Arabidopsis thaliana: one gene and its partner. The protein of the gene in region 1 interacts with the protein of each later gene in a pairwise test. Each region holds a gene or a part of one and is shown on either strand. Other genes may lie near its edges.

What was found. The genes of interacting proteins can lie anywhere in the genome.
Region 2: the proteins of AT5G23710 (region 1) and AT4G35540 interact in a two-hybrid assay, tested with the Arabidopsis thaliana proteins (one study listed by BioGRID).

Annotation. Positions count from the first base shown.
Region 1 is NC_003076.8:7,995,820-7,999,518, reverse strand, and holds AT5G23710 (DNA binding / DNA-directed RNA polymerase), read left to right. Parts: upstream 1-2,013; 5' UTR 2,014-2,134; exon of another isoform or gene 2,135-2,280; 5' UTR 2,281-2,298; coding exon 2,299-2,991; 3' UTR 2,992-3,098; downstream 3,099-3,699. Other genes in the region: PHS1 (dual specificity protein phosphatase family protein), read right to left, coding at 102-278, 351-552, 688-830, 921-998, 1,169-1,210; AT5G23700 (coiled-coil protein), read right to left, coding at 3,099-3,235, 3,313-3,442, 3,593-3,699.
Region 2 is NC_003075.7:16,871,877-16,876,118, forward strand, and holds AT4G35540 (POLLEN-EXPRESSED TRANSCRIPTION FACTOR 2), read left to right. Parts: upstream 1-1,958; 5' UTR 1,959-2,062; coding exon 2,063-3,646; 3' UTR 3,647-3,722; downstream 3,723-4,242. Other genes in the region: AT4G35530 (phosphatidylinositolglycan-like protein), read right to left, coding at 49-165, 310-448, 652-706, 805-889, 1,213-1,404; WOX13 (WUSCHEL related homeobox 13), read right to left, coding at 3,938-4,023, 4,147-4,242. UniProt on the Arabidopsis thaliana protein: Plant-specific TFIIB-related protein that plays important roles in pollen germination and embryogenesis, possibly by regulating gene expression through interaction with TBP2 and the subunits of RNA polymerases. Binds double-stranded DNA in vitro.

The sequences.
Region 1 (3,699 bases):
TCGCATGATGATTACTCATTACTTGAAAATTCTAGAAAGAAAGTGAAATGAGCAAAACCATTACTACATTTTTAAAAAACTACAAGAAAGAAAAGAAGCACCTGCGGAATCTGCACCCCTAGCCACTTGGAAAACTCATAACCTAGACGTTCTGATTGCGTGGCCATCCTCGATGATGCAAATTTAATAACTGCTGCTTCTTCCTTACGAGAGGCATCTTCAGAGCTGGAACTATTGAACAGGGCAAAGAAAACAACTCCTCCAGAATTCACAGTAACCTGTACAGACATCTAATAGTGTCAAAAGATCCTCCTAGCATCACCAGTCCAAGATCATAATGATATATATACCTCAAGTGGTTTACTCTGGTCTTCTTCAGAATGATCAGTGCTACTACTATGTTCAGTATGATGAAGTGAAGACAACATATTCCATGAAAAACAGCTCGAATCAATATCCACAGTAGAAGCTTTACCAAGCCTTTCCCACAAACTAATCTCTGAACTCTGCCTACTTGGTGGACTTTTAGGATCAGTATTCCTCTCTCCTGCACTGGATAATACTTGTATCAACTGACATGAAGACTAATATCCTAATTTAGAAACCTTTGTTCTGATATACTCATAAGATTCCAAAATCATAATCAACAAACCAAGTACTTGACAAAAAGTCAGAGAAAGTGTTAACCTAGTGACCATATCATCGATGCGGTGAAGGCGGTGAGGGAAGCCAGAGGATCCGTAAGTAGCACTTCGTTTACGAACTAAATCCAACCATTGAGTAAACCTATAAGCTGGACCAGATGCTATATCTCCTAACATGTACAAAACCTGCAAATTCCAAAAGTCTTCCAATTTTTAAGACGAGACTATTAATATAACCCTAAAACCTAAAACGAATTTAGGATCGGAGAAATTTACACGAGAAGTGACGGTGAGAGGAAGAGGAGACTCGTGCTCGTCGTGAACAAGGTATAGATCTTTCTCTTCGTCTTTTTCCTGCGATAGCACCATAATATCAGATCAGAGAAAAAGGGGAAAAAATCAAAATCAAAATCTGGCTCTGCGAAAAGAGGGAGAGATAAATGTGGGGGTAATGATGAACGCAAAAGGTGGGGGTGATAATGATAGATTATTAAATTTGTGGGGGAAAAATGAAGGATGATTACTTGAGAAAATGGTTGATCTCGCTTCTTCTCAGGTTCCGCCATTGCAAAAGCTTAGGTTCTGTTTAATTTTAGAAATGTCTTTTTCTTCAAATGTCAGCTTTGTATCTGAGAAGAGGAAAGTCTCAAGGTATCTTTAATTAATATGAACTTGTCGGACGAAGAAAGAAGACGGATATTTAATTTCATAAATTTATTATTGTAATAAAGACTCTGATCATTTTATTCTCATTATTCAAGATTTAAAAAAATAAACATATTATTATTTACAGAACTGTCTTCTAATTTTATTTTATTTCCGTTTTGTGTTATTATTTAAAACTATATTTTGTATGAAACTATTTCGGTCGAAATCAACAACATTTATACAAAAATGGTTTTAGATTTTAAAAAATATTCACTAAAGTTTATGGTTTAATCTGAAAAAGTTCAGTCTAATAAAATAAAATATTTATAGAATTTTTTTGTCAACTTATTTCTGAAAATTAATAAGCATAAATATTAGTAAAAAATCAAAAATATATACTTTCTTTGTTTTACAATATAAATTGTTTTGGACCAAATTTTTTGTTTTACAATATAAATTATTTTCAAAATTTTATGCAAATTATATATTATTTTAATACTTTATAATTATTTCTATTTTTAAAAAATAAATTGAATTTTTTAAAAATAAATATTTTTAATCTACATGTTTTTATCTAAACCAACTTGTATAGCGAAATCTCATATTGAATTAACAAAAATCCTGAACAATATGTACCAATCCACTTCGAGTTACCTTTTGTTGTGTATTAGTTTAGGCCCACACTAATATATTTGACTTTCTTCTCTGTCTTATATATTTAGCTAAAAGCAGACCTAGGGTTTTCGTATCCGTTCCAGTCACGGACGACTTCTCCGTTCTCTGAACTCTCCTAAAGCCTCTATATTCATCGGATTGTTCATCTCCAGTAAACCAATCTCCAGGTAAATTGAATCTGAATCTTCACCAAAATCCTTTGTAATCTCAGAATCATCGATTTTATCACCTTCTTATAGTATAGATCAATCCTTTTCGTAAATCACACGAATTCTCTCAATTACCGTGTCACAATTCCGATTGATTTTTGCAGTTTGGTGAATTTGTAAGAATGAGTAAACGAAAACGTCCGGATCCGAAATCATCGGGAGGTGATCTAAACGAGCCACACGAGAAGAAGCTTCTGGATCTGATTCGAATAAACCAAGGAAGAGGCGCAACTATGTTCGAATTGAAACGCGAGAAAACGATCCCAGCAACTATAGTTACTCGATTGATCGCTTCTCTACGGAAGAAGAATCTCATCAAAGAAGTAGCAAACATGAACAACAAAGGTGTCAAACATTATCTTGCAATGGAGTTTGAGCCTTGTAGTGAACTTACTGGTGGTGAATGGTACACTGATGGAGCTCTTGACCTGTCGAAAATCGAAGATTTGAAAGCCAAGTGTGTGATGATTTTGGAGAGGCATAGGCAGAGGGTTGTTACTTTGGAGGTTTTGTGTGGGTATTTTGTTAAAGAGGAGAAGCTGAGTGTTGATCAGACTAAGGAGATACTTAAGAACTTGATTTTGGATAATTTGATCATGGAGGTGAAGAGTAATGGAATGAATGAGTTTGCTTCTACGAGAATCGGAGAAGTTTGCTACAGGTTGACCGGGAAAAAGTTCGGTAATGGCGAACCGAGAGCTGGAGCTTTTGCTTCGATTCCTTGCGGGGTTTGTCCGCATATAGCGATCTGTTCACCTGATGGTGTTATCTCTCCCACTACATGTGTTTATTTTCAGAAATGGTTAGACTTTTAGCACTCTCTTTTTTTTTTTTTTTTTGGGTTTAAAACTTAAGATTTTAGATTATGATGATTTGTTTTTTCGGTTATACAATAGAGAATAATGCTATTGATATCTTTAAATTAAGAGTCAAGGTTGTGATTTGAAAGAGTAGATGTCGGAGAAGAAGATGGAAGAAGCTGATCTGTTTCTTTGCGACAAGCTTCCCATAATTGTTGCTCTACTCCTAGTTTCCTTAGCTCTAACAAACCTCGTTCCACTGTAAAGAGAACAAGTTAATGTGTTATTAAAACTAGAATTAGGACACAGGGGAAATCAATTGAAGAAGTTTATTACCGTCAACGGCATCTTGTGAAGTCGGAGATTTTCCTTCACTACGACTGGTCCAAAACTGGAAACGTTCATCTGCAATGTCTTCTTCCACACTATGCAACTTGGCTCTACCCCAGAAGTACATAAGCCATGCCTGCATTTATAACCAAATAACGTCGGTTCATCAAGATTCATCGCGATAAATTTAGTTACCAACCACAATATACCAATAATTACCATCTCTTGTAACAAAATGTCACATTATAACCTTATAGTTATGAAATTATAGGCATAAAGAAACTACCTGCTTAAAGGCAACATCTTCTTGTTCCCCTTCTTTTATCTCTGCATTTGAGAAATGTGATAACATAGTAAGGATTTCATCAAGTTTGACTGCTGATATGATATATT
Region 2 (4,242 bases), on another chromosome or scaffold:
TGCCAACAACAAGTAACAAATCTACAAGTTCTCTAATCACAACTGCAGTTAACTAGATACATCATGTTCTTCTTCAGCTATCGTTTCACTTTGGTGGTCTGTACCGATAGCAGCACACAATGCTTTCCAAATGGGAACCAACATCTTCAATGGAGGACGCAGTTCCTGTCCAAAGAGGAAATTGAACTCAAAATCAATTGCTATAAGTAATATTCCCGAATTGAATAATTGGTAACTCTAGATTGTTTCTCAAAGTTGTCAGCAGAAGTTTTTCTCTCACAATGTAATGAAACAAACTGGTGCCATTACCTTAAACACCAATGTAAGTTGTTCTTCACCACGAAGAAATAAAGAGAGACTCCAGTAACACGTAATGGGAGTGACACATTCGACCAACACAGGCTTCAAAATCTTGTCAATAGGGATAAACCTGGAGACAGTTTTTCCACTGCAAAGCAGAAGCATGCACAAAAAAGTAGGTACTTGTATGATTGGTAAAACTTAAAAGCATAGATCATAATGGTTCATGATAATTACAACAAATTCAACCATTACCACCTATCTTAGAGACCACTAATACGGAGTAGTTCAAAGCATTAAGCCATCATGGAGTGCAGACAACAGAATACTAACTAAATGGATAAAGCATACCTTAAATATTGAGTTTCAAGTTGGATCCCGAAGGTTGGCAAGATTATCACAGATTCTGAAGAAATCAAAGAAAAGCTAGAATTAGTTAAAACGTGAAGCTGATATCATTTGGTAAGCCTGTAAAGCGTGTATCAGGATGAACCAGGATCTCACCTTTCTTGACGAACTTGCGACTATGTAGCATAACCAAGAAACCACTTAAAAGGCAGCCCCAAGAAAGAGTTCTAGCTGGATTGTCCTGTTTCATGTGAATTATCCCTTTCAACTTAAGTGAAGAAGAAACAAATGGAACAACAACAAAACAAGCTTGTAAAGTAACACAAAAAAAGAAAAGTGCTTTTATACAAACCTTGTCATGTATTAACATAATGCTCACAACAGAATGAAAATATCAAACTATACTCCATCACCAATCCTAAGAAACAAAATGGTATGCCTTTCTCATGATATGTACTAGCAACACTTGTTCTAAGCAATGCATCAGAATCACTCAAATGTCAAGCAGATTCACATCAAAATAACAAACGGCAACAACCAAATTTTCTCTAAGAGCATAATTACCTTTCCAAGCAAAAAGTACATAGAACTCGCCAGAAACACAAGGAAGAAACCAAGCCCCCAACGACGGGCATAACCAGTTCCGCTGCTTCCGTTGATAATCACATGGTGAATATCAATGGCTTCTCTAGTTGACTTACTTCCACTTTCGTGTATGTAAGTGTATCTCTTATTCGAAACAGACAAGCTCACCATTTCAAAGCTAGTTTAGTTGAAAAACAGTCAAATGTATCACCGTCGTTTTACTCCCAACTCATATACGAACCTGCCCAAGGTTAGCTTTCTCAATACCCAAGTAACAATTTTCAAACTTTGAGTCTCAGTCAAATCGGATAGCAACAAAACTTCTCTGCGGCTTTCCGTCGAACACCATGCGTGCGTTATAATAACCCCTCTTGAAATCTCATAAATCTCTCTAACTATCTCCACACAACTTCCTCGAAAACACAGTAGCAATCTATCAAAAAGGACGAAGCAAGGATTCACCCAACGAACGAAAGCCACAATTCTTCGAATTGATCAAATCTGAAACCGGCTTCTCTTACCGGTAAAGAGATAAAAGACGGCACTATGGTGGAGGAGACAACAAAAAGCCAAAAGAGAGAAAATAATACAAACTGTGTGGCGTCCTAAATAAAACACCCTGGCGTTTTTGTTTTATTCATATTAACATCATGCCGTTTTCATCTCGACAATATAAAAACCTAGCTTATTTTTAAGGAAAGGTCAAATCTTAATTAGTTTTGATTTCTCTCTCCAGTACTTCTCGATTCGCCGGCGATCCGAATCTCATTCTTCTGCTTGTCGGAAAAAAAAACCCGTAATTTAAAGTGTGAAGCTTTCGGTTTGAATCATGCGTTGCAAGAGATGCAATGGAAGCAACTTTGAACGCGACGAAGACACGGGGAATTCGTATTGCGGTGGATGTGGGACATTACGAGAGTATGATAATTATGAGGCACAACTTGGCGGCATAAGAGGACCTCAAGGTACATATATACGAGTAGGCACCATTGGTAGAGGCTCTGTTCTTGATTATAAAGACAAGAAGATCTATGAAGCCAACAATTTAATTGAGGAGACAACAGAAAGATTGAATCTTGGTAATAAAACTGAAGTGATTAAGAGTATGATTAGTAAGCTTACTGATGGGGAATTTGGACAAGGTGAGTGGTTCCCTATTTTGATTGGAGCTTGTTGTTATGCTGTGGTAAGAGAAGAAGGGAAAGGTGTTTTGTCTATGGAAGAGGTTGCTTATGAAGTTGGATGTGATTTGCATCAGTTAGGGCCTATGATTAAGCGTGTTGTGGATCATCTAGATTTGGAATTGCGAGAGTTTGATCTTGTGGGTTTGTTTACCAAGACGGTTACTAATTCACCGAGATTGACTGATGTTGATAGGGATAAGAAGGAGAAGATAATAAAGCAAGGGACTTTCCTGATGAATTGTGCGTTGAAATGGTTTTTGTCGACGGGGAGGAGACCAATGCCTTTGGTTGTGGCTGTTTTGGCGTTTGTTGTTCAAGTGAATGGTGTGAAGGTAAAGATTGATGATTTGGCGAAAGATGCTAGTGTTTCGTTGACTACTTGTAAAACGCGGTATAAAGAGTTATCTGAGAAGCTTGTGAAGGTTGCTGAAGAGGTGGGTTTGCCTTGGGCGAAAGATGTTACTGTGAAGAATGTTTTGAAACATTCAGGAACTTTGTTTGCTTTAATGGAAGCCAAGTCCATGAAAAAGAGAAAACAAGGGACTGGGAAAGAATTAGTTAGAACTGATGGATTTTGTGTGGAGGATTTAGTGATGGACTGCCTAAGCAAAGAATCTATGTATTGTTATGATGATGATGCTCGTCAAGATACTATGTCTCGGTATTTTGATGTAGAAGGTGAACGTCAGCTTAGTTTATGTAACTATGATGATAATATATCGGAGAATCAGTTGTCTACAAAGTATAATGAATTTGAGGATCGAGTTTGTGGTGGGACTCTTGCGAAAAGAAGTCAGGGAAGTAGTCAGAGTATGTGGCAAAGGAGATCTGTTTTTGGAATGGTGTCAACTGAAAATTGGTGGAAAGGGAAATCGGAATTGAGTAAAAGGCTTTTGCTCAAAGACTTGTTGGAGAAAGATGTAGGGCTTGAAGCTTTGCCTCCTTCTTACATAAAGGGTTGCGTTGCAGTTGAAAGACGAAGAGAAAAGATTAAGGCAGCTAAGTTGCGGATTAATGCAATACAACATCCTTCTGACAATGTTAGTGAAGGTGCGTTGTCTTTGGAGCTTGAACATAGCAAGAAGAAAAGGAAGAAAGGATCTGAAATTGATTGGGAGGATTTGGTTATACAGACTCTGGTCTTACACAATGTGAATGAGGAAGAAATAGAGAAAGGCCATTACAAAACTTTGTTAGACTTGCATGTTTTCAACTCTGGAGAGGTTTGAATTGAAATGTTTTTCTCTTGGAATTTTTTTATTTCTTACAGTATAATTCATTTAAGGATGTAAAAATCGTTCTGAATGCAGAAATTATCAAAGCAAGCATCACAAGACGATTCAACAATCCATGTAAATGTTTCTCTGAAAATGATTAATAAGATAAACTACTTGTTTCTTTAATAAGCCCTGAAAGAAACAATTTAAGAAAAACAAAAGTCTAATACTGCTTATGACTGACTACCAAATCCATTTCATTGATCTCTCTGATAATTAGAAGTTTCCTCAGCTTGTATTCAATCAGCCTGACATGCCATAATCTTCAACATGATCATAAAGGTTGTAACTTTCCGCCAGTCCCATCTTTCCAACAAGATGCTCATCCCCTACAAACACAAATCACAAGAAATTATCTGAGACAGACACAACTTACTTGACTATTTCTTCAAAGCCAATGTCTCTGTTTTTTTCAGTTACGTGTGAACTAAAAAGGTATCTTTGTTACTTACTTGGGTTTGATAGAACATCTAGCAAGTGAAGGTCTGAGCTAATCTCAGGGCTCTGAAAGCAAAGATCTTCAGGCCTAGGAGCAGTAGTTGTTGCTG